4 linked regions of the Oryzias latipes genome follow. The protein of the gene in region 3 purifies or fractionates together with the protein of the main gene of each other region. This does not show direct contact. Links are inferred from orthologs where the notes say so. Each region holds a gene or a part of one and is shown on either strand. Other genes may lie near its edges.

The links. Proteins that work in one complex are often made in the same cells at the same time.
Region 1: the proteins of mitogen-activated protein kinase 7 (region 3) and pfdn4 purify together in Homo sapiens (affinity purification with mass spectrometry; 3 studies listed by BioGRID and IntAct, with this or other methods). This does not show direct contact. The link is inferred for Oryzias latipes from reciprocal best matches to the Homo sapiens genes MAPK7 and PFDN4.
Region 2: the proteins of mitogen-activated protein kinase 7 (region 3) and pfdn5 purify together in Homo sapiens (affinity purification with mass spectrometry; 3 studies listed by BioGRID and IntAct, with this or other methods). This does not show direct contact. The link is inferred for Oryzias latipes from reciprocal best matches to the Homo sapiens genes MAPK7 and PFDN5.
Region 4: the proteins of mitogen-activated protein kinase 7 (region 3) and vbp1 purify together in Homo sapiens (affinity purification with mass spectrometry; 3 studies listed by BioGRID and IntAct, with this or other methods). This does not show direct contact. The link is inferred for Oryzias latipes from reciprocal best matches to the Homo sapiens genes MAPK7 and VBP1.

Annotation. Positions count from the first base shown.
Region 1 is NC_019865.2:24,676,754-24,682,857, forward strand, and holds the start of pfdn4 (prefoldin subunit 4), read right to left. Parts: upstream 3,594-6,104; 5' UTR 3,511-3,593; coding exon 3,481-3,510; intron 3,133-3,480; coding exon 3,025-3,132; intron 2,733-3,024; coding exon 2,592-2,732; intron 1-2,591. UniProt on the Homo sapiens protein: Binds specifically to cytosolic chaperonin (c-CPN) and transfers target proteins to it. Binds to nascent polypeptide chain and promotes folding in an environment in which there are many competing pathways for nonnative proteins.
Region 2 is NC_019863.2:4,451,090-4,457,279, reverse strand, and holds the start of pfdn5 (prefoldin subunit 5), read right to left. Parts: upstream 3,594-6,190; 5' UTR 3,549-3,593; coding exon 3,459-3,548; intron 2,403-3,458; coding exon 2,300-2,402; intron 1,173-2,299; coding exon 1,141-1,172; intron 956-1,140; coding exon 881-955; intron 804-880; coding exon 698-803; intron 430-697; coding exon 347-429; 3' UTR 1-346. Other genes in the region: espl1 (separin), read right to left, coding at 5,784-5,985. UniProt on the Homo sapiens protein: Binds specifically to cytosolic chaperonin (c-CPN) and transfers target proteins to it. Binds to nascent polypeptide chain and promotes folding in an environment in which there are many competing pathways for nonnative proteins.
Region 3 is NC_019877.2:8,010,455-8,016,864, forward strand, and holds the start of mitogen-activated protein kinase 7, read left to right. Parts: upstream 1-2,153; 5' UTR 2,154-2,237; intron 2,238-2,260; exon of another isoform or gene 2,261-2,447; intron 2,448-2,460; exon of another isoform or gene 2,461-2,571; intron 2,572-3,068; exon of another isoform or gene 3,069-3,118; intron 3,119-3,590; 5' UTR 3,591-3,593; coding exon 3,594-3,855; intron 3,856-3,955; coding exon 3,956-4,121; intron 4,122-4,386; coding exon 4,387-5,864; intron 5,865-5,938; coding exon 5,939-6,410. Other genes in the region: vkorc1 (vitamin K epoxide reductase complex subunit 1), read right to left, coding at 1-191, 284-393, 1,305-1,486. UniProt on the Homo sapiens protein: Plays a role in various cellular processes such as proliferation, differentiation and cell survival. The upstream activator of MAPK7 is the MAPK kinase MAP2K5.
Region 4 is NC_019876.2:19,821,758-19,828,079, forward strand, and holds the start of vbp1 (prefoldin subunit 3), read right to left. Parts: upstream 3,594-6,322; 5' UTR 3,548-3,593; coding exon 3,467-3,547; intron 874-3,466; coding exon 749-873; intron 1-748. UniProt on the Homo sapiens protein: Binds specifically to cytosolic chaperonin (c-CPN) and transfers target proteins to it. Binds to nascent polypeptide chain and promotes folding in an environment in which there are many competing pathways for nonnative proteins.

The sequences.
Region 1 (6,104 bases), on a different chromosome or scaffold from region 3:
GCACACCAGCATCCAAAAATTAAAAAAAAAAGAGAAAGTCATAGTCTGTATTGATCTACAGCCCCTCCACAATCTCACATGCATTTTTGAGATAATTGTTACAGAAAAAGCTGGAAACTGCAGCTGTTTTTTTCTAAAAGATGCAATAAAAGTTAAGTTAGAAGATTTAAAAAAAGTTTGAAGTGTGTTCGTTGTTTTCAAGACTAACAACAGATCTCCTTGTGCGCTGTCACCTTCACAACCCAATGCATCATGGGAGATGTAGTGCATTAAACGGCCGGTGGAGATCGCTTTTCTGAGCTTCATTGTTTTGTTCACTTGTTCCACGGTCTGATACCGGATTCTGTGGAAAGTTACACCGCTAAAGACGAGCTTTAGCTGGTATTTTTGTTAGAGCTGAGCGACTTTACGAGCTAAATCGGGACAAGGAAGTGAAGACTTTAACCACTTCTGATTGGTCAAACTGATGACATGTGATTAAGCTCCCCAAGAATGATTGGTGGAGACAGTCAAAGGGGCGGGACTTTTCCAAAATACAGCCGGAGCTGCAGCTGAATCGCGGTACTGTACAGTCATTCTTATCAAATGTGTTTAATAAAATAAAATAAACGCAAAGAAAAAGTATTTTATGATCTTTTATATTCCTAACTCCTCAGTGTTTTATCAGGGCCTGTATGAATGAACAGAGAGCTGAAATCCTGGAGATGGAAAATGTTTTTAGATCAGTTAATGAGGACAATTTCCCACGGCACACTAGTTGAAAAACACTGATATAGACAAACCCTCCATCTTTGTCAGATAGATCCGACCCAACAGCGAAATATCTCTTTGGAGCCACATATTCAACCTCGTCTTACATTCATTAAGTTTTTCACCCACATTCCTTGATTGCCTTATTTTTTGGTCTTTGTTGATATAGATGCCCAAGTATTTAACTTCTGATTTAATGGGGATATGATTGATTTCTTTTAAAGGTGTGTCATGAATAGCCAACAGTTCACATTTCTTTAAATGTAAGTTTAACCCTGATGCTTTGGAAAAGTGTTTTACTTTTTCAATAGCTGCTTTAATTTGATGCTCATCTTTTAAAAACAGTGTTGTGGCGTCTGCTAGCTGGCTAATAATGATCTCTGTGCCCAAGACATTTAACTTTTTGATTTCACTACAATTCTTAATATAAATTGCCAACATTTCAGTGGCTAATAAGAACAGATACGGAGAGATGGGACAACCTTGAGGGATCCCTACATCAACTTTGAAACTTGGGGTGGTGCCATTAGGAAGGATAACACAGCTATTGATATTCTGATATAGACCATAGATTAGGTTTCTAAATTTAGTACCAAAACCCAAATTTTCCAGTGCTGTCATTATAAACGGATGCTCCACTGAATCAAAGGCCTTGTAAAAATCCAGAAAGAGAATAAAACCATTATCTTTTATAAGGTGTCGGTATTCAATGATGTCCATAACCAGTCTTATATTATTATGAATTGAACGGCCCTTCAGAGAACCAGATTGTGTTTCCGCAATAAGTCCTGAGAGTCCGGTCTTGAGACGAGAAGCGAAAATGTACGGTAATAATTTGTAGTCTGAATTTCTTAAGGTGATAGGTCTTCTGTTGTCTATAAGTCTAGGATCCTTGTCAGGTTTTGGGATAAAAAAAAAATGTGTTTGTTCCTGTAGAGAAGTTCAAGTAGAGGGGGCAAGGGGGCCACCTAGTGGCCACCTTGTGAACTACACCTGAGCTTTATTCTTTTTTGTTTTTTAATCAATCTTCAATCTTGGCGTAGATTGCAAACTGATTTGGACAAAAGGAGTAAAACAGCAACTTTTTACAGATGGTAATGGTTGTTTTGGAAGGTGTGCTCTTAAAACAGCTCTACTCTACTTCCTCTGCCAGAAGAAATCAGTTCTCTATTAACTTCTGCGAGTCCGTCTATAAACCTAGGGAATTTAACGGCCACTCGTTCTCACACTGTAACATTTTTGGATCATGTAAATCAACGACAAATCTTCCCAGTAAATGCGTGCAAGATCAAATTGTCTTCTTAAAAGGTTTTGAATATCGTCTGCTTGCTGCTCACAAAAATACCTGTAAAAACAATCCCCCAAATATATATATCCCCCAAATATATATATATATATATATATATATATATATATATATATATATATATATATATATATATATATATATATATATATATATATATATATATATATATAGCATTGTTGTGATTTAAAATTAATCCAGGTGGATCCACTTTTTTGGTTAAAGTATATCTGAAGGTTAAAGTTAAAGTATATCTGAAGCAAGGAACTTCTGCAAAATTGCTTAATATTTTATTGACCTTTTAAGACTAAAGTAGTCACAGACCTCAATGTGATAGAAGTGAAATCCAGTCTGAGTAAGTCACCTTGTTTCTCTGCTGCTTGGTCAGCAGTCTAATAAACAGAAATCTATTGTTTTGCTCTAATCTTTAAAAAGACAAAAAAAAGTTAAAGTTGTCTTCTTTTTTTAAACTGCACATCTGCGTCTGTCTGACTGCTAATTGTGTCAAACAAAGTGTCAATCATTTCAGGCTGACCTTTGCAGACTCCAGCATCTTTTGCGTTTCTTCCTGCGAGTGGCTGACAAAAACGCCACCGATCTGGTACGGGATGAGCATGGTGTCGTCATCCAGCATCATGATGTCATCACTGGCGTCCTGCAGGTTCTGCAGAGTTTTCTAAGAGGAGACATCAAGCGGCTGTTAAAGATGAGCGAAAGCAACAACAAAACACGTCAACTGGTGCTTATCCAGCTGTGTTTCAAAATGCCTCGCCAACATTTGTACATAACATTACGATTCTGGAGAGAAAAGTTCTTTCATAATAAAGCATCACTCAATGATAATAAATAAAGGCAGTGACTTTAAATTCGTCTATCCACCTGCAGTTTTTAGGGTAAATTCTAGTTACTTTTCTATATTTTGTTCAACCTGTAGGTCAACACAGTTGTAGGATTTCTCCTCTACCTACTTTGTTTGCCTCGATTTCGTTTTTTAGCTCCTTGATCCGGCTCGTGTTCCTGGCAAATTTGTTGATCTTCTGCTGGTCTTCAAAGGTGACCACGATGTCTTCAACGCCCTGAAAAAAGTAAACACTGCACGTTACAGAGACTACCTCAAAAGCTTTAGATAGAGTTAGCTTGACAAGTTAACTATCATGTGTGTGTCGTTGTGCCACCTCTTTAATTGTTACTATTTTATAATTGTCGTAAATGTCAGAGCTAGCAGTTACATTTCTGATTCATTAGAGTTAGCTAGCTAACGCTGCACGTTTCTAAACCGCCGCTTTAAAACAAAACTAGCACACGCAAGTGACTCTTTTACTTTGAAAGCAGAACCTCTTGTTTGAACAGTTTCTATAACTAAAATTAAAAAAAAGCATCATCAAAGGAAGAAAACAGAATATTTGTTTGAAAAAGGCACTTACTGCTGTTGCCTTCATGGTGGCTGCTGCCATCGTGCCTTCTTCGACGGGAAACAGACGCTGCTGCTGCACAGAGAGGTTAAGCGACACCGCCACCTAGCGGCTTGGATGGTTATTACTACACAACCCACTGAACGCCTTCTAACGCCAACAGGAGCTTGACACGAAATAAATGTGTTTAAATGAGCAAGACAAAAAAGATTTGAGTTTGGAAAAGTATTTCTTTGTTTTAAAAGTGCTTCTCAGTAATACACCATCTAATGGTGGCACATGTGACCATGCAGAATTAAATTAAATTAAATTAAATTAAATTAAATTAAATTAAATTAAATTAAATTAAATTAAATTAAATTAAATTAAATTAAATTAAATTAAATTAAATTAAAACAAATTAAAACAAATTAAATTAAATTAAGCACAGAAAGAAATTGGTGAAGTTGTTTTTTTTCTGACATAGAAAATTCACCCATCTGCCTTTTAAACTTGCTTTGGGAACCAGAGGTTGCTTGAGCCTGTCCCAGCCACCACTGGTTGAAGGCGGGGGTACACCCTGGACAGGTAACTAGTCTGTTGCAGGGCTAACCAACCCCACATTCCCATCCAGGGACAATTCAGAGTAACAATTAACCTATGAAGCATGTTTGTCAACTGTGGGAGGAAGTCAGTGTGCACAAGGAGACCACACCAACTCAGAAAGGACCCAGCTGGGATTCAAACCAGGGCTGGGAGAAAACAGTGCTAATCACTACACCACAGTGCAGCTCTTATATAAAGATTAGAAAAAAAATCAAAGGCCAACATGTTAAAGTTAAAGGCTACAGCACTTCTTCTGACACTTCTATAACAGAAGAGGCAAATAACACAAATGGTAACAAACAAAAAAACCGAGACAACCAAGCAATGGCTCTTCTCAATTGTACATTGACCCAAATCAAACAGGTAAAAATGCTCAAGGAAGACTACGACGTTGTGCAATTTTAAAGACTGACTCTGATCATCTTTGGATCCATTTTAACAGTGTTCCCATGTGGTTTTCAATTATGTTCGTGCAGTTTTAGCTAAAATAAGAATAACCAAAAAAAAAACTGTGTCATAGTGTAGAACATAGTGTCTGCAGAGCAGCAGGAATTCATTAGAAATTTGCTTTTGAGTTGTGGGTGGGGCTCCTTCCTTTCATAGTTGTATAGAGCTTTCGGTTTACCTGCTCTCCTGGTAGCTTACAGCCCCTCACGCCCCCAACCTACAGCCGTACAGTTTTGAGTCAGATGCCAGCTCATCAAGACTTCTTCTTCTTCTGGTTCACAACCATTTGAATCAACAACTGTTCAGAAATGTGACTTTCTTTATAACCTCCGTCATCCGAAAAATGCCAGAAGAAAACGTTAAAAACACCAAAAACACCTTTTTTTGAAGAAGGTTTAATCTTTTTCAACGTGCAGAAAGTACCTCTCAAAAACTGCAGCCGTTTGTTCATAAAGAGAAGAAAAATAGACTTGTTGTCATTAACAGAAGTCATTTTATGTCAACAAAAGGGTTGTGCAGCAGAGTTTAACAAATGGCTTCCTTACAGGTCTCCCATTGTGAAGACCTGCTTTAAATGATTCGTTTTTAACAAAACTGTAACGTTTTTATTGGTTTTACAGTATTGTTTTCTCAGCCATTTGAAATATCCTCTACATAGTGAAAACAGCCGTAGTTTCAGCTGATCTTAGAAACTAACTAGTTGTACCTGTTTAGCAGAACTTTTCGGTTGTTTTATCATCTGCAAAAGCGCTTCATCTTATTTTTTCCCTCTCTTACAGCATCAGAGGAAATCCTCCGTGGTTTTGGCAGAGCTTTCTGTCTGTTTTTGCCTTTCGATCACGCAGCTGGTTTCAGATAACCCACGTTACAAGATTTAAACGTTACTCATTCTGCTTAAGCTTTTTATAATCACAGACAAATGCTGAAAACATAACCTACAAGCCTGCCAAAGCTGATACTATAACATCCGGAACTGCTGCTGTGTGCATGTTTGGGCAGCAAACAGAACTGCACCTAAGATCAAATATTTACCACATCGGAGGGACAAATCTCAATTCTGCGCGGAGCAATTGTGGCATCAAATTCCTCCAAACCTCATGAGTTTTATTTGATCTGCTGCTACTTCTACCATAAAATCAATAGGTCTTTTGTCAGAATGGAGCTGCTGATAAAAGCTTGTAGGCTGTTTTGCGTTGGAACTTCATGAAGAGTTGGATTGAAGTCTCTCAGCTGCAGCCTTTGCATGCAGTCATAAGAGCACAATCCAAATCCAACTCCCACCTCAGTGTGCAGGCTTTACGCAACAATCAGGACATTGTGTTCACAGATTCCAAGTCTTGTCATCATCAATTTCAATACATTTTGCACATTTCTTCCTTTTTTTTCCCTGGCAATTTCTATTATAACTTTGCTGACAAATGGCAAAATACTGCAGAATGAAAGGGCTTGAATAAAATGTGGCTTGACAGGTGGGTGTTGTAGGAAATCAAACTGAATTATGATTGCTCTAAAGGCTGAATGCACACAAAATCTTTATTAGAAAAATCTCTTGACTTGGGAAACGGCAACAATAAAGCAAATATGGGACTAGTAAAATAATGACT
Region 2 (6,190 bases), on a different chromosome or scaffold from region 3:
GATTTAAGTAGGCAAAAAAAAAAAAAGCTTCAGATGATATATTTGCTGTACTGCTCTTGAAAACTATATCAACTTAGAAATTCTAATGACAACATTTATTAACTTGCATGTCCACTAAAAAGCCTGTTATAACAAGCAAATCAGTTAAAACTGAAATATAAGATATATTTAAACATCTTGTCAATAAAAAAAAATGTAGGGATTATCGGTACGTTCTAAAAAAACAAAGTCAAACGTTTGTTTAAGTTATAGTGAGCACTTTAATGATCCGACTGACCAAAGCAACACAACAGTATCGGTAGAGTTTTTGTGGGTGGAGTTAAAAATGCAGAAAGTGTTGCTCTCATTAAGCCTTGCTGGTCCCAACCGCCTGTGATCCTTGCTGACTCTGCAGCTGCTGCAGCTTCATGTTCATCACTTCAATCACAGCTGCAAGAGGGAAAACCAACATATTAAACCCGGATGCCAAAGGGACAAAAATATATTTAAAAAGAAAAAACTTTCTTTGCTGCAACAGATGCTTCATTAAATCTGAGGATAATGAAATAACTATAGTTTGTCCCGACTATAAAACTATCACTTCAGTCACATTAGCGCCTCATTAAATGTTATTTTTGTCTTCCATAAAGTAATAAGATGATATACAACAAAAATAAGAATAATTCCCAGCCCTATATCATGCGTGAGAATGGCCTACCTTGTTTCATGCCGTGTTTTTCCTGGAGAGTTGGCTGAATTTTCTCTATCTGCTTGGTGAGGAAGTCTATTTTGCGCTTGAAGAATTCTTTTGAATCTTTCACATTCTGGGAACAGAAACAGTAAGATTTACAGTCTACTGACTGTTTATGAAGTTCAAGTTTCAAAGTGCTTCCACTTTTACCTTTTCCACATAATATCCCGTTCCCACATCCACCAACACGTGCTCCACGTCGTTTAATGTGCCGGGGACGTACATCTGTTCAGCAGCTCTGCTTAAGGTCAATAGAAACAAGCTGTTTACAGATGCACAGCAAATGAAAACGGTTTGTTGGAGTTTATCTAATTTGTGGAACTTATTATATAAATAAACCTTTTCATGACAACTATAGACTTTGTAAATGACTACAAAAGACTAAAAATAGTTAGATGGATAAAGGATACAGAACTGGTGAGGGGGACGAGTAATTCTTTTCCTGTATGGAAGAAAGAGGGAAAGTTGTTAAATTCAACCATCTGTATATATTAGACATTCTGTAGCCTCCAAGACTGAAGGACAGTCGGAGACTTGGACCTGGGACTTGAGTGACACTTCAGCCTCACATGCACTGACTTGACATTTGACGTCAAGGGCTTAAAACACGACTTGGAGCTTAGGATTTAGGATGTGTGTACGATACGTATTTGTTTATTCTTGTTATTTCGCTCCGTAACATCACTGTCACCTTGAAGCTCATCAAGAGAATGCCAAGAGTGTGCAAAGCAGGAATCAAAGCAAAAGGTGTCGTAAAATACTTTTTTCTTTGTGTTTATTTGATTATATTAAAGACTTTTAAATAAGAATGACGGTACCGTGATTTAGCTGCAGTATTAACTGTTTTCTGAAAAGTCCCGCCCCTTTAACTGTCTCCGCCAATCATTCTTGGAGTCTTAATCATACGTCATCAGTCTGACCAATCAGAAGTGGTTAAAGTCTTCACTTCCTTGTTCCATTTCTGCTCATAAAGTCTCTCAGTTCCAACAAAAATACCAGCTAAAGCTCGTCTTTAGCGGTGTAGCTTTCCACAGAATCCGGTGTCAGACCGTGGAACAAGGGAACAAAACCATGAAGCTCCAAGACGCCAGTCTGTCTGGCGTTTGCCGGCTGTTGACACTACATCTCCCATGATGCATTGGGTTAAAGTGGCAGCGTATCAGTGTACAATGAGTCTTCCTTTGACGTCTTGAAACCACAACGAACACACACCAAACAGTTTTTAAATCTTCTAACTTAACTTTTATTACATCTTTTAGAAAACCAGCTGCAGCTTCCAGCTTTTTCTGCCACAATGATCACAACAATGCATGTGAGATTGCAGAGGGGCTGTAGATCAAAACAGACTAGGAGTTTTATTTTTATTTTTGGATGCTGGTGTGCCACAGGATTTTTGTCAAGGTTAAAGTGTGCCGTGGCTCAAAAAAGGTGTGAAAACACTGATCTATGCGCACGTGGTGTGACGGTTAAAAGAGGTGCCATCCTAAGCAAAGTTAGAAGTAAAACTATAAAACATTTTTTAAAACATTAATGATCAAACAAATTACCAGTAAGGGACATTTTACATACCTTTGTTGTTTTCGGTCAGTACATTTAAACTGTCTTTTGCTTCAACATACTTGGTCTGCACAACTTTGAACTGGCCAATTGAAGAAGTCAAGAATTCAACTTCCTGGGAAAAAAAACACAGCATGAATTTCAAAAAAGCAATTAAAAAAAATTAAAAGAAACACCCCAGAGGAGTTCCATCTATGTACTCAGATACACCACCATTCACTAGTTTTAGAAAACGAATGTTTCCAGTTTTTTATTGACGCATAAGTGTGATGTTTTGTTGCATTGTGAAACAAAACTGATAGTAAAGCTGAGAAACTGAGGTTGCAAAAGCAGATCCTGGAAATGACCAAGTTATGCCAACACTCCTGCTGCCCCGTGGCCACAGTTTGCAGAAATGTTGAGCTGGCAGTTTCTTTCGGCCACCAAGCGCGGTCTGGACGGCGCTCAGCTGGAAATGATCGCACACAGGCTTTTTGGTAACGGTTTCAGTCGTGCTTTTGTGCAATTTTTCTTTCCAGCACGATTGTGTTCAATAATTTAGGTAGTTTTTCATTAACATAGTCATATCCTGAAATGCTACAACAATTTACTTCAGTGAGTGATGTTGTTATTTGATTAATTTTGTAGATGTTTAGCACTGACATCTGCCACATAGAGGTAAACTACACTAAACTGCACACCTGTGACTACTTCACCAGGATAGATTCTGTTGCATTTCTTGAATTCATTAGAATTTATAATAATTCCCAACGCCAGAATGCCTTATCAATAAGGGTATTATATGTTCTAGGGGTGTAAGAATAAACGTAGTTGAACCGAAGCGTTTCAGTACAGCAGGTTCGGTTCAGTTCACTTCTGTACCGTTAGGTACGTTTTTTCCCCCGGATGTGTGCATTGTAAAAACTCAGCTGCTTTGTCACTCATAGCGGGTGTATTGGTTGAATGACAACAATAAGCCTGATTCAAAATTTAACAAAAAAATGTAAATAATATAATGATAAGGCCAGGCAAGTTCAAACTGTGACTCATTTCTCTTAACTCTTGAAGGTCGCTACCCATCCTGTCTATGTATCAATTAAATCCTATAAAGTCTAAGGACAAATTGTAAAATAAACTATTGTCGGTTTTTTCTCTGTCAACTCAAAAACCCTTCTTTACAACCGAGCAGCACCTGAAACTCCACGCCCCTGCGGGGAAACATCATGACCCTCCGCGGCCGCTGCGCTGCTCTCATTCCCGCCTTTAGCGTAGACGCCTTCATGAAGAAGCAGCGGTCACATATTCAGTCTAAACTCACGCATTTTACCTGGTCCAGCTGGCCTTTGAGTCCTTCTAACTGCGGCAGAGAGAGGTCTGTGAGATTCACCGCCATGTTGGAAGCGTGGTGACAAAAGACGGATTCTTCTTCCGGTTGCGAGATGTACTTCCGGTTGACATATTTTCCGGTTTATTAGAACATGAAAGCTGTTTCAAAGTAAATATGATTTAAAATGAAATGCAAAAAATAAATAAATAAAAGGAAAGAAGAAAACTTCCTTTTTAAATATGTTGACTAGCTCTAGTTTATATGACTATTTTCTAACGCAGACTCTGCATAACAGTTTCTTTGATTGAAATTGAATGGGTTTTTTTCTGCAGAATATTAAAATTACGATAAGCATGAAGGTCAGTCGTAGTAAGACAGAATACATGTGTCTGAATGAGAGGGATCAAGGTAGAAGCGTTAGGTTACAGAGGGCTGAGGTGAAGAAGGTGCAGGAGTTTAAGTACTTGGGGTCAACAGTTCAGTGTGATGGGGAGTGTGGAAAAGAGGTGAAGAGGCGAGTGCAGGCAGGTTGGAGCAGTTGGAGGAAAGTGTCAGGAGTGTTGTGTGACAGAAGAGTGCCAGCAAGACTCAAAGGAAAGGTGTACAAGACAGTGGTGAGACCAGCTCTGCTCTATGGGTTAGAGACGGTAGCAGTGAGACAGAGACAAGAGGCTGAGATGGAGGTAGCGGAGATGAAGATGTTGAGGTTCTCCTTAGGAGTGACCAGGTTAGACAGGATAAGGAACGAGTACATCAGAGGGACGGCTCATGTTGCCTGTGTTAGCGACAAAGTCAGAGAAGCCAGACTGAGATGGTTTGGACATGTTCAGAGGAGGGATAGTGGATATATTGGTAGAAGGATGTTGGAGATGGAGCTGCCTGGCCGGAGGGCAAGAGGACGGCCAAAGAGGAGATACATGGATGTCTTAACAGAGGACATGAAGTTGGCTAACGTTAGGGTAGAAGATGTTCATGATAGAGTGAGGTGGAAAAGGATGATTCGCTGTGGCGACCCCTGATGGGAAAAGCCAAAAGAGAAAGAAGATTAAAATTACGATAAGAGACCATGGAAACGTACAATAATCTGGTTTTTAATTTAGTCAATTACATCTGCAGGTTGAACAACTGCCATGCAGTCTGTGGGTCAAGTATAGGGGCCCATACTTGTTCTAGTTTGCATATCAGTTACACGAAGCATTTGGCTGCATGTCATACTGTGTGTTTGTGACAAATATTTGAACTTTCTATTTTTGCTTAATATTTATTCAATATTGAAACATGCAGATTAATGACCTAGTATTTTCTAGACAAAATTGACACTACTTTCTTTATGCCATCACCCGCTTTGAAGTTTGGATTTAGGAATTAAATCTTAAGGTAGGCTACCTGAGGTTTGAAGCGTAGTTTATACTCTTATTCATAGACAAAAACGGCAAATTCTACCAAAACTCAAAAGAACCAAATTAAGACTTTTCCCCTCTTTTTCAGGACGTCCTGCTTCCTTTTTCATAGGCAGATTAAAAATTAGATTTGTCAATATTCAAGTAACACAAAGTAGAGAAAAAATCTACAAATGTAGACAACATTGATGCAGAGCCATTTCAGAATGTTTACAGCAAGTCTTCCTTAAACTTTGTTTTTTCAAGCTCTTACACTAAAGTTTTTATTTGTCGTCACCTCAGATGTGCATATGAAGGCAAATTGGGTAGCATGATGGTCCTTTGCGTCACTCAGGTGTTAAACAATAACAACCAGTTTTCAAACAACTTTTAAAGCCGGAACTCGAAATGTAGTTCGAAAATTAAACTAATCTCTCCCTAAATCTGATCAACAAGGTCAAGTAGACCCAATCTTCCCTGCTCCAGATCAGCTAGTCTTATGCTGTATTAATCCCAAAGTGAATTATAAAGAAAGTTTCAGAGAATCAAGTTTGCTCCCACAGTGTTAATACTAGTTTTTGGAGTCTTAATAACCTCTGGAAAACAAGCAAAATATGCATGAAGACATTTATTCAAAAAAGCAAATCATTTGCTAAAAACATTTGTACAAACCTATTGGAATCATTTTCAATATTAAAAATAGTTAAAAATAGAAAAGCTGAGTTAAATACAAGTCATACATTAGTAAAAGTCAAACATTTCTTCAAAAGAAATGACTCCATAATGTCACTTCCTCTTTGCAGCCTCAGTCCTACTGCAGGTGAACTGGAAGGCCGTAGACCACAGGTGCAGCCCCTATCAGGTATTTCAGGTTTGTGGCCTGACGTGATGAAGCCATGAACTCCAGGATAGATGCGCCCGACCCCGCAGATAACCAGGACTCCAGCAGGGCTTTGGTGAAGCGGTCAATGTCTCTATCAGTCACATCCCACAGGTTACCCAAAATGAAGGGGCTAAAAAACAGAAACAACAAACAAGTCTCCCATAAACTGAAGAAAACTTAGAAATTAAAGAACGAGAGGAGGAAATGTGACGTTTAAAAATCAAATTGAAATGTTTTAAAATGTTCCATGTCTATGAACAAAATAAAGATATCACATTATTCTGGTTAAATTGCTTATCGCAAATATAAAGCAGATTAATAGATTTGATTATGAT
Region 3 (6,410 bases):
TGCCTCCACCGCTCTCCTTCGTTTTAGGTTTGTGTAGAACAGTGCAAAATTGATAACATACGTTGACACACAAACCATGCAGAAATCTCCCAAAACAAAGGCCAAAATAGATGCAAGATAGAGTGAGCCAGCCAGAGACACCCAGGAGGAGAGGACCAAGGCCAGCGCTGCCTTTTTAGACAGAGATAGTCCTGCAAAAAAACAAAAATTTATTTGACTTATCTTAACTTAAACTGTGTTAAACTAAAAGATGTCCACTGTAATTTTACTATGGTTCACTTACCGAGACCCAGCTGCAGAGTGTAAAATATGATGCCAAGGATGCTGTTGGGCTGGTTTAACAGACTATCTGTGCCCACAAAGTACTGGACCAAACCAAAACCACGTCCCCATCTGCCAGGGAGAAATTAAAACATGGAATCCAATTCCGGAAAATGTTACAAAAATCGTAAAAGTTTTCTTTGCATGAAAAAAAATTAAAAATAGTTGTCAAAGTAAAGGGCACGTCATGTTGGAAATATGTGAAATAACTTTGTGAGACATGCTATGGAGTCCATGCCATGGAGTCAGGGACACAACAAAATATTTACTTAAAATAATAGTTTTATGACCACGAATTAATATTTGATGACCAAGACTAAGGATTTTATGGGCACAGATGACTCATTAGTACCCACAAATTACTAGTGTGGGCACAAAACTGGCTAATCTGTGCCCTTTAAAATATTCACGTCTAAACAAAATATTATTTTGTGTCCACAACATGCTAATAAAATACCAACTTTTGGCCACAAAAAACAATTTTTAGCCACAAAATGCTAATCTGTGCCCATACAATGATAATTAATGGACACAAAATGCAAATGAAATGCTAATTCGTGCACACAAAATACTAAATTGTGGCCACAAAATGCTTATATGTGTGCACAGATATATGCCCACAAACGGCTAATAAAATACAAATTTGTAACCACAAAATACAAATTTATGTGGACAAAAAAATTTATGTGTTTTAAACAAAACACTAATTTGTACCACAAACTACTAATTTGTGTCCAAAAATACTAAACTGTTTTTTGCAAAATGCTAATTTGTGCACACAAAAAGTGTGAATCAATTTACTTTTTATTTTATTGTATGTCACATCCAGGCTTCCATACCCTCAATGGGAATTTCTAACACGTGGCAATGCTGGGGGGTGGAGAGAATCCACTGAAGTTAATGCAGGTTTTCAGCTTGTTAGGGGAAAAAGTTTGGAGTTGGCGCAGTTACTGCCGCTACCAGAAGGAAGAATGAAGTCATACCTAGAGGTGAAAACTTTGGAGCAGCTGACAGCCTCCCCCAGGTCGCACATCGCCCTGTAATCTGGGTCTCTCTCACGGGACAGCTCGACGTGGAGGGCATACACGGATAAAACCAAGCCGAAGAAACACAGAAAAACGCGCGCCTTCCTCTCCCATGCCGGCATAGCCTGATTTGCAGCCATGTGGACAAGTCTGGACAAATATGGATCACTATGAAAGTTTAGGAAATAAATGCCAAGATCAGCTTTAACAGTCTTTCCTCTCTTGTCCTTTGCATGGAGGCTCTGTTAGGAAACAGTCTCTTCTGATTGGACTCGGGAACTTTTTAAGGTTTCCTGTCATTGGATGTTTGGGTCCAGATGTTGAACCTCACATATGGTCGTTAAAGTTTGTTTACTACGGCCTTCAGCCTGTGCAGCTTTCTGGAAAAAAAGAAAGAGAAAAAAAGTTGCTGTGCGCATGCAAGCTGTACAGCTTTATAGAGAGATGTATAATAATAATTACAAATGAATAAAATAAATCTTTTTTTTAAAATAAAACTTCGTTCCATGATTTGCGTAAGTCTGTATATATGCATTTATATTTACTTTAATATTGTTTTTTTCCTTTTAGTAAATAATACTTAAAAAATCAAAAAAACAGCTAATTGCTGCTTTGTGAACGTGTTATAAAAACACAACATTTTAGCATGTTTTTTTCTTTGTAAATGACTAAACGAATAAAAATACAGTAAATACGTCATGTTTCGTTTTCTAAACTCAGTTCGTGGAAATAATAAAGATATAAACAAAGACAATCTTTGTCTTCTTAAACCCCGCCCTAAATTTTCTACGCAATTTCATTGGACAATTTCTTCAACGTTCTCTCATCTCATTGGTTCTTCGCTTTGCACTCAAAAGGAATAAGGAAGCGATTGAGGAAGCTCCACACAAGGTATTTTGAGGCTTCTCCGACTTTAAACATAATTATTATTGTAAAAACGTCTTAGAATATACAAATATGACATGCATTTTAGAAACGCTCGCGTGTAGTTTACATTCAAGCTTCATTACAACAAGAAAAAAGACCGTTTCGAGGCATTAATCAAAAGAAAAGACAGGTTCAGGTAGCAGTTAGGTTACGCCCCTGCGTCACAAAAAGTGGGTAAGGCTACGGTCATATATCTTTGTTTGTTGTTGGCAACACAGAATGTCAATTGCTGTGTTTTGAAGCTACCGTTAGGCCGATTTGATCGCTAACTAATCTGTCTCAGGACCTTTCACTAAAGGTAGGGGGTTCGTCCAGTTTACTGCTGGGCCTCACGGTCTGTTAGCACTGTTTGGATTCTTTATGTTCATGACATTCGTTTGCTTTGTGTCAAACAATATTGTTCTATTTACGCAGAAAACAAGGCTTCTTTCTGTAATTGGTCAGGGACAGGATATTACATACATTGTGGCTTGATTACTATTGTTGTTTTAACAGTCCGATTTCTCTTTTTAATTGTTCTATTTCAGACTGGGTTACTCTCAGAAAAAATACTTTTGGTGTTTCTTCAAAGTTCTTTTGATTCCATTTATTGATCATTTTGATCAAAACCTGTTTCATTTGCACATAACTATTTATTTAAGATATTTACAACATTTTGATCAAAACATGTTATTTCAAAATAAAGCTTAAATATTACGGTAGAGAATTTTTTGAAGATGTATGATAAAGTTGAATTTTTTTGTGTCTATACTCATTTAGGCCACCCAGTAATCCAAGCTGACATTGTTTTAACAGGTTTCTGGTGTGACATTTCAGCCCTGGGATTTCATGTGGGAAGTATAGATGTCAGTTCTTTGTTAATTCTTGGAAACTAACTTCATGAAAAGCAGTAAAGTGACAGAGAGAAAAACTCACAGTAATGTAGATGAAAGTCTTTTAAAAAGGGCTGCACGATTTAGAAAAAAAAACATGCAATGTGTGATATTAGTGATCAATATTGAAGTGATGATTGAACTTGCGATACATGAACAAAAACAAAACAAAAAATATTTCATTTCTATTGGAATAGTTTCAATAGAAGTCTACATTAAGTGTAAACCAAAGGACCCACATCAACAAAAAAGGGGTCCATCCGATTGGTCAAATGCGTAAAGGTTAAAACCGTCAAGCTGCCATAGGATGGTTTTTGCATGTGTGTTAACATTTAAGGTAACCATAAATTGCATAATTGCTGATATTGTGATGCAGAAAAATATGGGATTTATTGTGCAGGCCCACTTTTAACAGTTTTTTTTCTTTTTCTTCTAATCTTTCCAGAAAATGGCTACAAAAAATGCTGTGGCTGGAAAAATTGAGTCCAACATGGCTTCACCTGAAAGAATGGCCACGGAAAAGGGCAGAGAAGCCCAGAACCAACAAGGAGTGGAAGACGCCGACACCAGCACGACGGCAAAGAACCTGGCGTTGCTGAAAGCACACTCTCTCGATGTGAAGTTTGACGTTGGGGAGGAATATGATATCATAGAAACCATTGGTACCGGGGCATATGGAGTCGTTTCATCTGCCAGAAGACGGGACAATGGTAGTTACTGTCTGCCACACATTCTGAATACATGAAGAAATTGAATACGAGCTGCTCCTCACTCTCACTGCTCATCCCTCCGTGTCTTTCACATACACAGGCCAGCAGGTGGCAATAAAGAAAATCTCCAACGCTTTTGAGGTGGTGACAAATGCCAAACGCACCTTAAGAGAGCTTAAGATTCTCAAACATTTCAAACATGACAACATTATCGCCATCAAAGACATCCTCCAGCCAAATCTTCCTCACTCAGCCTTCAAGTCTGTGTATGTATACGTGTCCTTTTGGCTCATAAAAAACAATTTTCCATTTTAAAATGTTTTCTATGGATGAAATTGCACATAAAATGGGAATCTTTTAAAAACTTACATTTATTGTATGTGTGTGCCTTTAAGTTTTGCTCTAGACAGATTTAACCACTTTTATCTCTATTAGTTAAGTTAGTTAAGAGTATTTCAGTATTTTTAGAGGTCACTTCAAATGCTTTGAGGAGAATCTGTTGTCTTACCTCTTTACTTGCTGTGTGTCCAGGTATGTGGTGCTGGACCTCATGGAGAGTGACCTTCATCAGATCATCCACTCCACCCAAACACTAACCCCCGAGCACACGCGCTACTTTCTCTACCAGCTCCTCCGTGGCCTCAAGTACGTGCACTCTGCCAACGTCATCCACCGCGACCTCAAACCCTCCAACCTGCTGGTGAATGAAAACTGTGAGCTGAAAATCGGGGACTTTGGCATGGCCAGGGGGCTAAGTTCCCACCCCGAGGAGTCGTACTCCTTCATGACCGAGTATGTGGCAACTCGATGGTACCGCGCTCCTGAGCTGCTCCTCTCTCTGAACCATTACAGTCTGGCTATTGACCTGTGGTCTGTGGGCTGCATCTTTGCGGAAATGTTGGGCCGAAAGCAGCTTTTTCCTGGGAAACACTACGTCCACCAGCTTCAGCTCATTTTAAGTGTGTTGGGCACACCTCCTGAGGGTTTAATAAGCGCTATAAGGGCTGAAAGAGTGCGCTCCTATGTTCAGAGCCTTCCATCACGAACTGCTGTGCCTTTGTCCAAACTGTACCCACAAGCTGAACCAGATGCCCTGGACTTGCTGGGGGCCATGTTGCGCTTCGATCCCCGCCAACGAATCGGTGTGACGGAGGCACTCGAGCACCCATACTTGGCGAAATACCACGACCCGGATGACGAGCCTATATGCGTTCCAGCTTTTGACTTTGAATTTGATAAGATTGCAATGAGCAAGGAACAAATCAAAGATGCCATTTTAATGGAAATCCAGGACTTTCATAAAAAGAAACAAAGCTGCCGTCAGAAGCTGCAATTCAAGCCATTGCCGAGAGGGAACAAGGGAGCCGCTGCGCAAAGTAATAACCAGAGTAATGCTCCAACTGCTGACAATCTGACCGAATCCTCACTGCTTCCAATGGTACCAAGAGCACAACAGATACAGCAGCAGCAAAACCATCCAGCAGAAGCAAACCAAGCATTTGCTGATCAGATCAAAGCCTTTGACAAGTCTGCAGCCCTTTTAGATGTCACCAGGACATGCGTGACCCACAATTTATCGCTTCTCAGTAAAACTGAAAGTGGCCCAGTTGACGTGGATATGCCCAGTGCCAACTCTGACAGCGGCCAGCCGGAGACGATAGATTTAACGACCCCAGTGTCTAGTCAGGGTGCTTCATCGGAAGCGATGAGAGACCGTGAAGTTCATGAGTATTTAATGAACACTCAGGCTCAGTCAGCGGCCCAGGCTCCCACCACTGCACCGCCACGGAGGACGGCACCCATACCCGCCTCTGCCCACTCCCTGTCTCTGTCTGTGGCACAGGCCCACTCACTCTCTCAGTCCCTTTCACAGTCACTTGGCAAGAACTCGAGGAGTTCTCAACCTGCAGCAGAGGGAACCAGGAAAGAGGGCGCCATTTCAGAGGACACCAAAAATGCCCTTAAGGCAGTTTTATTAAAGTCTGCCATCAGACAAAAAGCCAGGAGTGGTAAGCTCAATATTTATCATTCCTTGTTTTTTTTGGCTTGCATTTCTGTGCATTCTCTGATCTGTTCTTTGCAGATGGAGGAGCCTCGGCCATCGGTATTGACTGCGGTGCAGGAGGAGGCGCCTCATCCTCCCTGTCCTCTGTTCTAGAGTCCCGTCGGTCTGTCACAGCCCAGGAGCGTCAGCGGGAAAGAGAGGAGAAAAGAAAGAAGAGGCAGGAACGAGCAAGAGAGAGGGAGAAAAAAATGAAAGAAAAGGAAAGACGGGAGGGAAAACAGGGGGACTCTTTGGGTGGGGTGTTGCTGAGTGACAACGACAAGAGCTTGTTGCAGCGCTGGACGAGGATGATGGACAGCCGCTGCGACAAATCTCAAACTCCTAACAACGATGGATGCAAGAACAAGGATTGTAACGAGAGTTCTCACACGGGTGCAGTTACAGAGATCACCGCGGAAACGATGAACAATAAAACCGACGAGGCGAGAACGTTTCAGGCACACAACCAGCTAATCTCTCAAGTAAACCCGAACCAGCATGGCTTGTTTCA
Region 4 (6,322 bases), on a different chromosome or scaffold from region 3:
ACTGGTACACTAGCCGCAGGTCGGAAGAACGAATCAATAGTTCGCTTGCTCATAGCTCAGACGCACATATGAGGTTGTGGTGATATTTGTCTCCGTTTCCTTCCCACAGATGTTTACGCGCACTGGATTATCTCTAGGCCCCGCCCCCTCCACATATTTTTGCCACTTGCAGTGACTTTCCCCATTTTTCTCACACGCATTGGCCGCCTCAGGCATCATTCAATGACACGCGAGTGTGCACTGGCGTGTGCTCCAGTCTCATGAGTATTCGCGCGAGTGTGTGTGTGTGTGTGTGTGTGTCTGTCAGCGTGTGTGTGCGCTTGCGTCTCATTGATGATTTCATTGCTCATTTCATCGATCATTGACATGCCCCTTCCACGTTTAATGTATAAAAATACGGAGGCTGGTGGAGGCAAATTTACTGGTAGCACATGTGCGACTGGATGTAAAATTCAGTCGCACACTCTCAAATTTTGGTCGCAAAATGCGACCAAATGGTCTGGAGCCCTGTGGACCGATGCCCTTCCTGACACAACTCTGTATTTTCAAAGCACAGAGAGTCCCAGATAAGCACTAGCCTAAGGACCCCCACTAGATTTTTGCTCATTGCACGTCCTGGGAAGCAAACCCAGGTTTATTATATGACAGTCCATCACCCACCCAACTGAGCTACCCACCTACTACATTTAGTAGCTCCGTCATATGTATATAAAAGCAGTTCATGTGTGCTGTACAATTCTTGCATTACCTAAGTTTTTTCTGAGACAGGTTGAGCTCCATGTATTTATATTTCTGGTACTGTTCGTCCAGCCTCCTCAGGACGGTGTCTGCCGTCTCATTGCCTGGCTGCTTCATAAAAAAGTCGACATCCTCCTGTGAACCAGAGTTTAAAGAGAGAATTCTGACAAATTTATTTGACCATTGGCGAAGTCCAAATGTTGGACGTTTATTGATCTTTTAAAAAACAAAAAAAAAAACCCCACAAAAAAGCCATAAAGATCATGGCTTTAAACGTCAGAGTAACATTCTTTATCAATTATTTCTCCATTATTAGAGGTGTTTTTTTCCCTTAAGTTGATTGGAAATTTTTTCAAACACCAATGCAATTTAGGAACTTAACAATAATATATATCTTAAAAAAAGCTTGGGGAGAATTAACACGAAAAACAAAATACAAACTTAAGACGATAACATATACTACGACTTGGGAGGTTTACACATAAAAATATTGAAAAAGTATAGTTTAATAATAATCATAGTAATAGCAATATTAAATGTATTAAACTACTATAAGCTAAATTTGATTTAATAGGCTCCGTGCACGAAAGTAAGGAGTTCTACTTCCGCCGCCTTGAGTGTGAGGCCGACCATTTCCGGCTTGCGACTTCTATAGCAGCGACACGGCAGATTTTGATTGCGAAAGATGGCATATTTCACCCGTTTTCTACAAGGTCTCCCGAAAATCGACGTGAACGACATCTACAGGATTGTCGACCAGTGCATGGTTACATGGGCAAAATATCGTGTCTAAAATATATAGTGTCGAAAATACCGAAAGGAAATGCGTCCCGTTAGACAAACCTGTGCTGTCACATATTTATGCAGCAGCTCGGTAATATACGAGGCGATCTTCCAAACGTGCTTTTATTAAATTTTATGAATATTATGAAGTGCCTGTTCGCTCATCATTTTATATTTAATCCTTGTTGTCAGTGCTTTTTTTGTGGAAGAAGAACAGAACTGAAGAACAACCCAGTGTTAGGATAGGCTAACAACACGGGCTAACAACATTAGCCTTTTGATGGAGACAAAATCCAGGACAAACCATGTGGGAACCGCTGCAATCTGCATCCTGGCTGCACGTAAATGATCAGCCTTTATTTGTCTGGGCACAATTAGAAACACAATTCCATGTGTCGTGATTTTTTTGAACAGTTTCTAAGGACTGAGCGGCATTTCTGCTCTGAAAAGCTCACACACACTGTGTGCTCTGCTCTGTCCTCGCGAGTCCGGCAGCCGCTAACCCAGAGCGGCGGTTCGGCTTGCAGTCCGAATTCTCACACATAACAAAACGCACACGTAACAAAGCACCCTCCCCTCAAACACATTAATAAATCCGGCTGCTCTGCTCAGAGAGGTTCACTCGGTCCACTGGCACCGGAGCCCGAACGCAGAGCTCGGATGCTGGGTCCAGACCTCAGTGGACACGCATCCCCCCCGCATGTCCTTCGTGAGGGGTGAAAGAGAGGGGAGAGCCAGCGGGGCGAGAGCGGAGCGGCGCTTTACGCGAGGCGTCCGCAGAGCCGCTGGTCGGTCCCGCATGAGCTCACTAGCTTTCTCTCAGCGAAACACCGTCTATGCGTGACGTAACCCAGAGCAGCAGTGACACACGATCGGAATGACCGTTTACATGAACAACGATCGGTATATCCAGCTATCTCGATCGGAAAGAAATTTCGATCCGAACGAGTCTGACCGGGGCAAAGTATTCTGATCGGCGTGTTTACATGACGCATTTTCTTTCCGATTGCTGCAAATACGAAACACGACTCGTCTTGCTTGGGGTGAAGTCCTCCCGCCGTGTTCACCATCCATTCGGCTCTCGCCGACACATATACTGGAAAGCTAAGAAAGCTTATATTAGTACTGTTGTACTTTGACAAATTCGAACACGGGTACACAACAATGTTGTGATGTCTTTTTCACGCGTTGAAACAACAAACGCCTTTCTTTTACCCGAAATCCGCTCCTATTTACTCAAAACTAGCAACTCAACAAAACTCCACACAACAATAACACGACCAACAGGAAGTTGTCGGCCTCACACTCGAAACACGGAAGTTAACCGGAAGTTCTATCGTGCACGTAGGCTATTATTGACTTAAGCTTATTGTTTTAAATATTGACTGGTTCTATTTAAACCCCCAACTATCCCTGAATATTACTTTTTTTTTTTTACAAGACTACAAAACAATAAAAAAATCTATATAAAAACTAGTCACTTCTTTCCATTTAATTGCATCGATATCAAAATGCAAACACTTACATTAGCGATTGAAACACAACACAACAAGAATGGTAAATATAAATGAAAAAAGCTCACGACATTTTAGTTATTTCCAATTATTAATCAATTGCTTGTCTAATTATGGACAATACACTTAGTCGAGAAAATGTATGAAACGTATCCGCAGGTAATATAGGGTTCGTGTTTAATATTGTTTGCGAAGAAAGAAAAAGAAAAAAGCAGAAGTTAAAAAAGCCTGCACACGCAGCCCAAAGTTTCCACCCGGCCGGTGATGACCATAAATGGAAGCTGGCAGCCGCCCAGCATGCACACAGAGCGGATAATCTGTTAGCTTCTATATGCTACCAAGCTAGCACGAGGCGCCTAGCCAATAGCTGTGACCAAAAACGTATAACAGGCACCAAATATCGATAGATAAAAAAACTAAACTTTACACACCAAAAACACTGCTTCAGGGATGCCGAGGTGCTTTTTCTTTGTCGCCTGTGAAGCATTGCTGGGATCTATGGTCGCCGCCATGTTGAAGATAGAATCCTCTTTCCTGACATTCAAGCATGCGCACAAGGCGTCTCAGAAAAGGAAGGGGATTTGCTGCCTCCATCGGTCAGAATGGATAGCTGCACTAAACCGCTGCCATGGCTTGACTGTCAGAGAAATAAAAAGTAAAAGACTAACTGCAACATAAAGAACAAACCTTTTAAATTGTTAATACACATTTCAAATCAGCGCAAAATCAGCTCATGATATATAATATATATGATATAAAAATCAACTAAACGTTTCACAAAGTTATGAGACCTAAAACATGACCAAAGAACAGGACAAAAGTCTGCACAAAATCAGTGCTTCATGTTAGTCAAAGGGAAAACAACTTTAGACTTATTTTTCCTCTCTGAAATGTGAAAATATTTTAAAAATATTCCTGAGCATAAAACATATTTGATTAGAAAAGTTTCCACAACTAATGTAATTAATCCATCTTAATCATAATGTTTGGTGATTTATATTAATAATAATAATAATAATGGATTGGATTTATCTGCGCTTTTCAAGTCACTCAAAGCGCTTACATTGTGGCCATTATTCATTCACTCCTCGTTCATACTTGGTGATGGTAAGCTACTGTTGTAGCCACAGCTGCCCTGGGGCAGACTGACAGAGGCGTGGCTGCCAGTTCGCGCCTACGGCCCCTCTGACCATCACCAGGACATTCATGCACATCCACACACCAGTGGAGCCACACTGGAGGCAAGGAGGGTGAAGTGTCTTGCCCAAGGACACAACGACAGTTGGCTGGGGGGAGCAGGGATCGAACCGCCGACCCTTCGATCATTGGACGACCCGCTCAACCACCTGAGCCACAGCCCCTCAGATTGATATCATATTGTCATTGATATCAAATGTGTCACAAAATGGGCAGGTGCCTGGTTCCAATTGCAGCAGGTTTTATTAGCACAGCTAAAAGTTCACAAATCTAAATCAGGGTCAGGCAGGCAGGGGTCGATAACGAGCATGGGGGCATCAGAGAAGAAACTGGAGTAATCAGGATCAACCTTAAAGTCAAATCCACCCCTTAACGTCTCTGCCAATGGGTAATAATTGTTTATAATCTTGAATTGCATTTCTTAAATCTCGGAGTATGGGCCATTTTATGAATTTCCATTGTTGAGCACCCAATAAGACAGGTGCCTCAGTTACCTAATATTTAACTTTACTATTATAGTAATGGCATGATTTACCTTTAAGGGATTTGTTTGTACCTTTATTATCACATTTTTCTTCCGTAAATTTTGTTTCACCTATTACTAAATTTGGTAATTTTACTTGAACACTGGAAAACAACATTTTAGTGTTTATTACATGTACTAAAGCAATTGGAATTGCTTTCTGAAATTCCTTAATTAATTCTGAAATTCCTTAATTGAAAATTCAATATCATATTTGCTTTTGAAATTGCTTAATTGAAGAATGTCTCCTTTCGATTCAAGAATAACTCTACAAAAATGATCTTGTTGTCAAACCAATTCTGATTAAACATTGTTTTCCTGTTTGTGATAATTACTCTGTTGTTTCATAGGGTGACGTAGTGAGGGGTAACATTATGGCTAAATATTATTTTTAAATGGAAAAGTACTTGTTTGTGAAATCCTGATTGTCTGTAGAGGAAGTTTGGAGATTTCAAAGTCACATCTCAACAAAAAAGTCTAACCCACCTACTTTTTCGAATATGTTTTTTTGAAAATGAAACTATATTGAGTCAGGATTAGCTACAAAGTATTTTAATCATTTTATTCTAAAAGTTCCAACCATTGATTCAAAATCAATTGTCTCCCGAATTATATTCCTTTACTACCTGACATTTTCTCATGTAATGGATCTTATTTCTCTAAATAAATTGGTAAATAATTGAGTTCATTTTTTTGACATTCTTTGGGTTAATGTAAAGAGATTTGCATAGATATATTGAATTTGAAATTCCTTTTGATTTGGACTCCAAGTTTCTTCCAAAAATTGTTAAATCTCTGATCAACCAATGATTTAATGATTTCTACATTTGATACATTGAGAAGATTTCTTTTTCCAGACAAGAGTACAGGGGTAGTAATTCACATTTTTGTAAATTTAGTCGAAGGCCAGAAGCTTTGGAGAGAAAGGAAATAATTTGTAGGTCTTTAGTCACCATGTTTTTGTCCTTCAGAAAAAAGAATGTGTATTTTGCAAACTGCCTAAGACGGAACTCATAATCAAAAAATTTAATGTCTTATTAATTAGGATTGTTTAGAATTAGATATGCTTGGAGTTGAGTACATAAAATCAATCAAAATTATTCTACAGAATCAAAGGCTTTAAAATAGTCAATAAAGAAAATGAGACTTTCTGTTTCCAGCACAGATTGATACAACATATCCAGAATCAATCTAACATTATTATGTATGTTTCCTTCTTTTATAAAGGCAAATTGAAAATTATCCACTACTTTGTATATAACTTTCTTTATCCTGTTCACATAAACCTGTCACGGTGCCTGGCAGTCTCCTCCCCCCTCCAGCTCTGCTCTGATGTTCCTTATTGCCACCAGCTGCCATCACTCACCTCATCATCTTCTGTGGATTCAAAAGGAGACCCAACGCCACTACTCAACGCCAGTTTGTTACCCCTTATGGTGACTGTCCTGGTTCTAAGCTTCGTTTACTGCTTTGTACAAAGTCTCTGGCTCCTACTAATTCTATGTTCCCTGTCCCAGGATCCAACCTCTCACGAGTGACGGCAGCGCGAACCGTTCATTCTACGACT